Linked DNA regions of Oryzias latipes. Each later gene encodes a partner of the first gene's protein in a complex. Links are inferred from orthologs where the notes say so. Each region holds a gene or a part of one and is shown on either strand. Other genes may lie near its edges. The genes, in order: ap1g1 and ap1s1.

Region 1 (3,819 bases):
CCATTTTAAAAACACTGAGACATTGCTGAAAATTGTTACGTTTGGTTTAAACACAAATTCCAGCATAAGGATCCCAGAATCTAAGATTTACTCAGTCAACTTCTGTTTGCATACTGCAAAGCCTAGAGGGCGCTGCACATGGCTGATAATCAGCAGGTCACAGGTTAGAGTGCAGGTTTGTTCTTAGTCCAGCTGCTTTGGGAATTTAATCTATGTTTACCAAAAAAAAAACTTTAGTCACTATGTAAATTATCCTTAAATAGGGAGCAGTTGATGGTCAATCACTGCATATCCTTCAGTTGGAATATGGCAGCTAGAACTGTTTTATACAAGTAAGAGATGTTTTATTATTACCCAAACAGTTCAACTTTTTGATAATTCACCTTAGTAAGTACAGCTGTAAATGCGAATGTGATGTTTGTGAATGACTCATTAATCAGGATCCTTTCACAGGAAGAGACCATATGGTGTGAGATTTAGAAATATACTTTTGCAGAACCACAGCTTACAAAAAGACTCAGGATTCCCTGTAAAAACATGTAGTCTGTGCTTTTTAAACTGTTTGAATGGCTTGACTTGTATTTAATTGACTGTTTTGCAGTGCAAACATGAATCTTTTTTTTTTTCCAATGTTGACCAAATGAACAAGTAAAGAAAATCCAGTTTTGATACTTTGGTTCTTTCTTAATGTAGTTTTACAGAAAAGGGAATAAAAACAAATCAAGCTGCAAACTGGGGCATTTAGAGAACTGGAAATGCTTTCTTATGGTACGGATGATTTCTATCTTTTCACCCAGGTGTTCTCCACACGTCAGTCGTTCTCCTCACTGAGATGTGTGAAAGAAGTCCTGACATGCTGGCCCATTTCAGAAAGGTACACATTTTCAGATTTTCTCATTTAAAAACTTAAAGCAGGGCTATTCAAATGGTGCCCTGTGGTCCACATCTGCTAAGAGCAACTTCTGATGGGCCCAGGGCAGAATCACACAGTGCTAGTTATAAAAAAGTAATGCTTTTTTTTAAGTAATCCTCACACCTGTTTATCCCATGAATTTAACACATTGAGTAACCTAGGGTTCCTTTTTATATTAATTAAGAGTAAGTAAAAAAAAAGCTATTGCCCAACATTTGTCAGTCACAAAAACAAGGGAAAGCTCTTCCCTAGTTAACTCTGTAAAATAAAAGTGGCACAAAAAAGTATAATGTTTACTAAAAACATTTAAAGCTGTAATAAAGCTTTGTTAAAGTGCCAGAGTGCCAGTCCCCAGAATCCAGCACTACCAAATGTCAACACCATGTGCAGTTGAGAAGTGCTTCACCAGACCATGAGCTATTTGTACATAAAAGGAATCAACAACAATTCCCATTTGTAATGATACTGTATTAGCCTATATTTGCATCTTAATGTACAAACAATAAAATATCTGTTGTTTTGTGCCAAACTTGGCTGATAAGCATCCCTTTTTACTTATTTTTTTGATTCATTTTAAAAGTAATTTTGTTTTCAGAGGGTTTTAGAGAAGTCACAGAAATGAGTCTACTGGACTCATGGCACTAACCTTATTTTTCCATCCATTGAGAATTTGTGCCCCCCCCCCCCCCCCCCCCCCCCCCAAATGTAAAGTTTAAAAAAATGTGTAATTGAATAGCCCTGTCTTAAAGTATTTGTCAAAAGCTCATATCACATTTCATTCTCTCTTTGGTTACACATTTTGTTAGTTTAGTTTGACAAACACAAAGTAAAGCTTAGGGGATGGACTGCACCAGAGGTAACCTCTGCATTCAGAACATGTTAGTCTTTTATCTCCTTCGACTGTCTCTTCCTCTGTTTTTCCTCAATTGCTGCTGTACCTGTACCTGCCAAAAGCTCCATTTATCATACTCATGATCTAAACATTATTTTAAAATCTGAAAATAAATGATTTCCAGTTTCCCCTCCCTAACATCTACTTCATATTTTTTCTGTCATTTGTCTTTGTTACAATTCCTGCATTGTGTTAGAATGAGAAGGTAAGAGTATATTCTGATCTCATAGCTGGTGCATGTTATTTTTAGTAATCACCCCTCACAGTCACAGTCCAGATGTAACAACATTTCTTTTGAGTATTGTCATTTCCTCCTTTTAATTTTTAAAGTTTTTGTTTAATTAACATGTACAGTGATCATTACTATGTAAGTGTCTTCAATTTGATCAGTTTCTGTCCATTTGTTGGATGCATTGTTCACTTTTTTGTTTTTCGCTTAATGCTAAATTTGTTTAGTCGCTGTATTGAAATTTAGCGTTGTGGGTTTGTTTTTACATTATAGGTACAGGTGTTTGTGGAAATGGATTTTTCTCTCCGTATTTTTGCCATATTTGGAATCAAAGTTAAATATTTTTTTAGTCAAAACCGTGCACAACTTTAAAGCTTTATTCAGCCATATGTACTGTCGGCCAAACCCAGGCAACTAAAACTAAAAAAACATTTTTCTTTTTTTTTTTTTTTACAGTAATTGAATGTTATTTGAATGTTTTTTAAATTAGTTTTGAGCGGCATCTAGCTATAGCTCAGTTACCTGCTGTTTGCTATATTTGTCTTTCATCTCTTTTAGAAAATGTTAGCGTTCTGCAAATTTAATATTGACATTTTGCTCTTTTCTTGAAGGCACAGTTAGACTAAAAAGGATTTACAGTGGTCCCCCGTTAATCACTGCAGTTAAAAATAACCTGTGATAACTTTTCTCAGACCAATATTATCCCTTTCCCACTTTTCTCGTGATTAAACGCTCAAAGGGTCAAACATTTGTAGAAAAATAAGTGCAGTACTTTAGAATGAAAACAAAGCTCTTCGTTGCAAGCTGAATGCATTCTGAGTTACGACACACAAGAGATTGATTGGCAAGGTCTACAGCCAATCAGGATGCAAAACACAATGTGATGTAAAAGAGAAATCGTGCAAAAAAATCTGTAAAACTGCAAAAGGTGAACTGTAAGATAAAAACTAAAGCTGTTTTGGATGGATATTCCCCCACCACATAAAAAAATCGTGTTCATTTTTTTTCTTTTTTAATTCCTGACGATTAGAAATCCCACTTGCAAACATCTTTGTTTAAAATTGTTTTATTTAAGGGAAGGTCTCAAATCTAAATGTTCTAACCTACTATTTTGTAAAATCAAGGCTATAATTTTCTTAACTTCACTGAATTACCTGATTTTATTTTTTCCAACTGCATTATATCAGTTTAGTGGAGCACATGCCTTTTCCCTTCCCCCACCTGAATTTGCCCTTATGAGTTAAATTTACTTTTAATTTGTTATGGTAAAATAGCAACTAATATTAGTCATGATAAGACAGAGAGCTCATTAGGTGTTTGACGCAGAATATTGTGACATCTGTTCTTTCTCTTGTGTTGTTGGTGTTTTTCTAGCTGGTTCCACAGTTGGTGAGAATCCTGAAGAACCTAATAATGTCTGGATACTCTCCAGAGCATGACGTGTCAGGCATAAGTGACCCCTTCCTGCAGGTAGTAACGCACATTAAAAGCTGTAAATAAAGACCTAATGTTTGTGCTGAACAATTTTAAGAAGTATATTCATTCTTCCTTTGACTTAATTAAGGCTGTTTTGGTTTCTAGGTGCGGATATTGAGACTACTGCGAATTTTAGGCAAAGGTGACGACGACTCAAGTGAAGCGATGAATGACATTCTTGCACAGGTTTGGATAAAACCAGTGAATAATATGTTTGGATGAAAAAAGTCCTCATTCTAACAGAGCCGTGTTCTGGCAGGTGGCAACAAACACAGAGACAAGTAAAAATGTAGGCAATGCAATCCTCTA
Region 2 (4,436 bases), on another chromosome or scaffold:
TGCACATTTGCAGCCTTTCTTTCCGTACATTTCCATACGTCTTTGTTGTGGTGCAGGTTTGCTCCAAAGCTACAGTCGCTGTTTTCAGGTTCAGGGGAGAACTAATGGAAGGATTATAAACAAGTACCGTTATTTAGATTTAAATCTGACTTTTTGCTTCTGCATACCTGGGACGAATAGATGAACTGTACAGGGTGAACCGCGCCTTTGCCTGATGTGTTTAAGCAAGCAACAACTTTTATTGAGAAGTCGATGTAAACACAAGTATAAGTGTGATTCAGGCTTCAAATCTTAAGCATTCATGTGATGCAACAGAAGTTTTCATGCCAGTTTTCGAGCTCCACGCATAAAACGCACGGCCATTAAAAGTAAAACCTACTGAACATTGACCAATCAGGTACTTGGATTTGGAAGAAATATTTGGATCCCGTCCCCCTTCATTCACAGAAGTGCCAATCGTTTGAACGTGGATCGTGGAGGAGAAATGAAAAAATGTGGTTCCGGCTGGAATTCTATGACGCCAAGTCTTTTATGTATCGGAATAGAGCTGTGAAAGAAAAAGTCGGAAGCGAGATTCATGAGATTTGCATCACTTTGGCATTTCACGCCAAGCCTCCTCTAACTGTGAGAACATGCGCTAGTATCGGGTAGCGACAGATCAGTGTGTACACCATGCGTTCAATAACCCGCGTTCAGCGTGTTCTTGTGATGCTCATGTGTAGTATGACAATGGCTGGGATAGGCTCCAGCAACCCTGTAACCTTAAAAAAAATAATTAAGCTGGTTAAGAAAATGAATGGATGGAGTTGCAGTGTCTGCATATTTATTATTTTAACTAAGGATGATATTTGAACTCTAGCAGCTGAGAGCAGCTTCAGTAAAAACATTTGAAAAGGCTAAAATGGAACAAGTGACTCCCCAACACTAAATGTTGGGGAGTCACTTGCAAACACTAAAGACCCACTCTGATGAAAATTGTGTTTTGGTGTCTTTAACACGTTCTTGTGGCATTTTTCTGATGATGAAGGACATATATGAAGAAATTTAAACTTAAAATGTGTTTATGAGGATTACTTTATTCAAGTCGTTGTGAATCAGGAGCAGATGAGATAATTCTCTTTGAAAAAGATTGCATTTGTGACATAGAAAATATGCTGGTGGGCCACCAGCTCCCTGCTCGTTCCTTCGTTCGTCCGTCCGTTAATTCGTCCGTTCCTTTATTCATTCAGTCATACATACATACATGCATATATGCATACATGCATTCATACAGTCATACACAAACACACACACAATGCATGCATAAATAAATACATTTTTTTATGGTTTGATTTTACTTTAAAATGTCATTTATTGTCTTACATTTATTTGACAATGTTTACATTTATTTATTTTCAAATATTTAAAAGTTTTTACTTAATGTCCTCAACGTCATAGACTAGCATACGCGGATGTGTAGTGCGCATGCTCGGTCTTAGGCGGAAGTGCTCGGCTACCCGGACCCGTTGCAGGGCTGCGGTTGAAACCGTCGGTCCGTATCGCGGCTCTGCAGCTGTTTTTCGGTCCGGTTCGAAGAGCTCAGACATGGACCTTTAGCGTCCGCCGTGTCTGCGTCGTTGCAGAGTTCGTCCGTGTGCCCGGAAGAGTGCTCCATAGCCGGCAGAGAATGGTAAGCGACCGCCGCCACTCTAGAGCCAGCTGTGCTAATGATGCTAGCAAAAGCAAGGTGTACTGTTCCAGGAAATGCTCACCTGCGCTCCGTTTACCTGCCTGAAGGCCAGGCCGCAGCCCGGGGGGCTGCTTCGACCGTCCTGATCCACACGTGCCTGGAAAAGTAGGACAGGTGTTGGTAGTTTGAGATCCACAGAGCTTTAGGGTGCAGATTTAGTCCAGCCAGGTGTAGCTGGCGGCGCAGAGCGTCGTCCCTCCCGGACATGATGAGGTGGCCAGGTGAGGTATACCACCTGGACCCATCATCAGGCGGGATATCACCTTTGAATTGTTGATCTTAAATCAAATAGAATTGGTGAGGGCTCTGCATCCATTAACTATGAAATAGTTTTTAATGGAGAAATTAATTAGTGTTGACTTTGATGACGTGTCATCATCTTTGCTTTCATTCTATAATACTTGAGTTACTTTTATATGACGGTTTGAACTCAGAGTTTAAACAAGAGAAAAGTGTGAAAAGGTTCATGTCTGTTGGAGAAATGTGTATAAAATGTGCAACGATGAGTTTTACGGCCTTAAACGTCTGTAATTATTTGTGGATTCGGCCTATTTTTTTTTTAACGTAACACCTACGATAAGTGAGGAAACGCTGTACACTTGGGCCATTCTGAGGCCTGTTGGTTTATTGGGCGCAAAGAATGTTTGTAAACTAGAAAGACATTGGCACAAACTCTTCACGCCAAGCATGGAGGTGAAGTGTGATGATATGGGCTGGTTTGTTGTTGAGTGAACACCAGATGTTGCAGCTTTGCAGCATCTGGCTCATGTGCTGCTCACCAGCAACACTCAAGGTGTGCAATCTTCTAGTCTTGTCTCCCTGCTGGGCACCATATAGTTGACATCCACTTGTGCACATGCTGGTGTGCCGCTGTTTTCGTGGGTTTTCGGTTACCCGTGAGCTGTGCTCCTGATAACACTGCAGTACTGAGGAAGAGGAAGCATGGGGAAATGAAAGCTTTTAGGGTTTTGTTTTTATATTTTTTTTATTTTAATCTGCCCATTTGAAAAATGAGACTATAGGAACAAAAGATGTGTCTGCAACAAGCACCGGGCTTCAATCCGGCTCAAAAGAATCGACTTCAATCTCCACCTTCAACAAATAAAAGATTGCTGCTTTTTCGACGCCTGTGGTCACATGAGCGTTTGGGTCACTGAAGTCCGAGATCATTGACAGGATCCCTCTGGTGACACGAGCACTGATAAATCTGGAGCTGTTCTACATAAATAAAAACCACGTTCAATCCTGATTTCTGTGAAGGACTCTTGTAAATACACTTTCTAAAAAAAGAGTCCGGTTGAATGTCTCCTCTCCTAAGGGCTTTAAAAATGAGTTAGACCTCATTCAGCTCTGAAAACCTCTGAGTGAAGCTGCCCGGTTCAGACGCTAAATTTAACTTCATTGTAGCTTCATATGTTATTTATAGAGCACATAACCCAGACTGAGGTGGCATTTCCTGCTGATTTCAGTGAAACCTTATGCAAATGAAGTCCTTAACAGGCACACTCTACATCAACTTAGCTCTATTTTATGAAACTTTGAAGTTCAAGCGAAAACCACATTAAGTAGGTCTTTTGAACCTTGATAGAAAATTTGATTTATCATGACAGTTCTGGGGCACCTGGGAGTTTTGTGGCGTGTGGTCATATTTTCAGGCTTTAAAGGAGTTCTTGAAACTCTCAAATGTCCTGGTTCTTCTCGTCTGTCTGACAGATTCACAGCTGATCTGTTCCTCCTTTTGGAAAATGTTGGGAGCAACCATTGAAGGTCTTTTATGGAAGCTTAGCATTTAGAATCACATGATTGTTATTTGCACTCAACTACGTTTCCTGTAAGTAGGGCTGCACGATATGAAGAAAAACTCGCGATATGCGATATTAGTAATTAATATTGCGATAACGATATAATTTGCGGTATTTAAACAATTAGCAAAACAACCAAAAATATTATTCCCATTCCATTACAACAGCTTAAAAATTATACTACAAATGACCCTTGTTGACGTAGGAGGCGAACATACAACATAATAGGGCGCCATCCGATTAGTTAACAACGTGAAGGGGTCCATCTGATTGGTCAAATGCAGAAAGGGATTCTTTCAATCCATTAAACACGTCAAGCTGCCATAAGATTGTTTGGCCACATCTAAGGTAACCATTTATTGCAAATTTGCTGTCTTTTGCGATATGCATATTGCACAGCTTGAAATTGCGATAACGATAAATTTGCGGTATATTGTGCAGGCCTACCTGTGAGCTTAAAATGCGTCGCTCAAAAACAAGAAAAGGTGTTCTGAACAGATGAGAATCATTCACGAAAAAGAATCGCTGCTACAGAATTGAGCGGCATGAAAGACTTGAAGATGGAGGACATGGATAAAAAAAAAATGCAATTTTGGAGTATTTCTTTATTCAAATCACTGTGAATCAGGAGCAGAAGAAAATATTCAGTTGGAATAAAAATGTATTTGTGAAGCAGAAAATACGCTGGACCGCCCACAGTCTTCCTGCTCCGCTCCATTCTGATGCATCCACTGTCAGAAACATAGATCCAAGAACGTCTTTGTTTTCCTGGTCTGAGCTGGAATCTGGATCTAAGATGTACGGCTGGAAAGCTCCAAGATTGCTCGCCATTTTTGTTTAGGCGGGGGGCATGATGGGGCTGAAAGCTAGCGGTATAGAGTGTTACCAAAAGGGATGATGGGAAA

Evidence for each region.
Region 2: the proteins of ap1g1 (region 1) and ap1s1 are in contact, whole or in part, in a crystal structure (PDB 1W63), measured with the Mus musculus proteins. The link is inferred for Oryzias latipes from reciprocal best matches to the Homo sapiens genes AP1G1 and AP1S1. Residues at the interface, in NP_001288140.1 of Mus musculus: Leu7, Arg8, Ile11, Arg12, Arg15, Leu54, Tyr55, His57, Met58, Gly60, Tyr61, Lys78, Phe79, Thr80, Arg83, Ile84, Leu87, Met90, Leu91, Asp94, Glu95, Thr115, Phe117, Leu123, Cys124, Gly127, Cys128, Tyr152, Lys155, Lys156; in NP_031483.1 of Mus musculus: Met1, Leu14, Arg15, Leu16, Gln17, Lys18, Trp19, Leu21, Ala22, Thr23, Asp25, Arg28, Lys29, Arg42, Lys45, Met46, Cys47, Ser48, Phe49, Glu51, Lys56, Gln74, Asp75, Asn76, Glu77, Leu78, Ile79, Leu81, Glu82, Leu83.

The regions. Positions count from the first base shown.
Region 1 is NC_019861.2:21,105,530-21,109,348, reverse strand, and holds part of ap1g1 (AP-1 complex subunit gamma-1), read left to right. Parts: intron 1-797; coding exon 798-874; intron 875-2,001; coding exon 2,002-2,010; intron 2,011-3,408; coding exon 3,409-3,504; intron 3,505-3,615; coding exon 3,616-3,696; intron 3,697-3,769; coding exon 3,770-3,819. UniProt on the Homo sapiens protein: Subunit of clathrin-associated adaptor protein complex 1 that plays a role in protein sorting in the late-Golgi/trans-Golgi network (TGN) and/or endosomes.
Region 2 is NC_019876.2:26,354,688-26,359,123, reverse strand, and holds the start of ap1s1 (AP-1 complex subunit sigma-1A), read left to right. Parts: upstream 1-1,464; 5' UTR 1,465-1,666; coding exon 1,667-1,669; intron 1,670-4,436. UniProt on the Homo sapiens protein: Subunit of clathrin-associated adaptor protein complex 1 that plays a role in protein sorting in the late-Golgi/trans-Golgi network (TGN) and/or endosomes.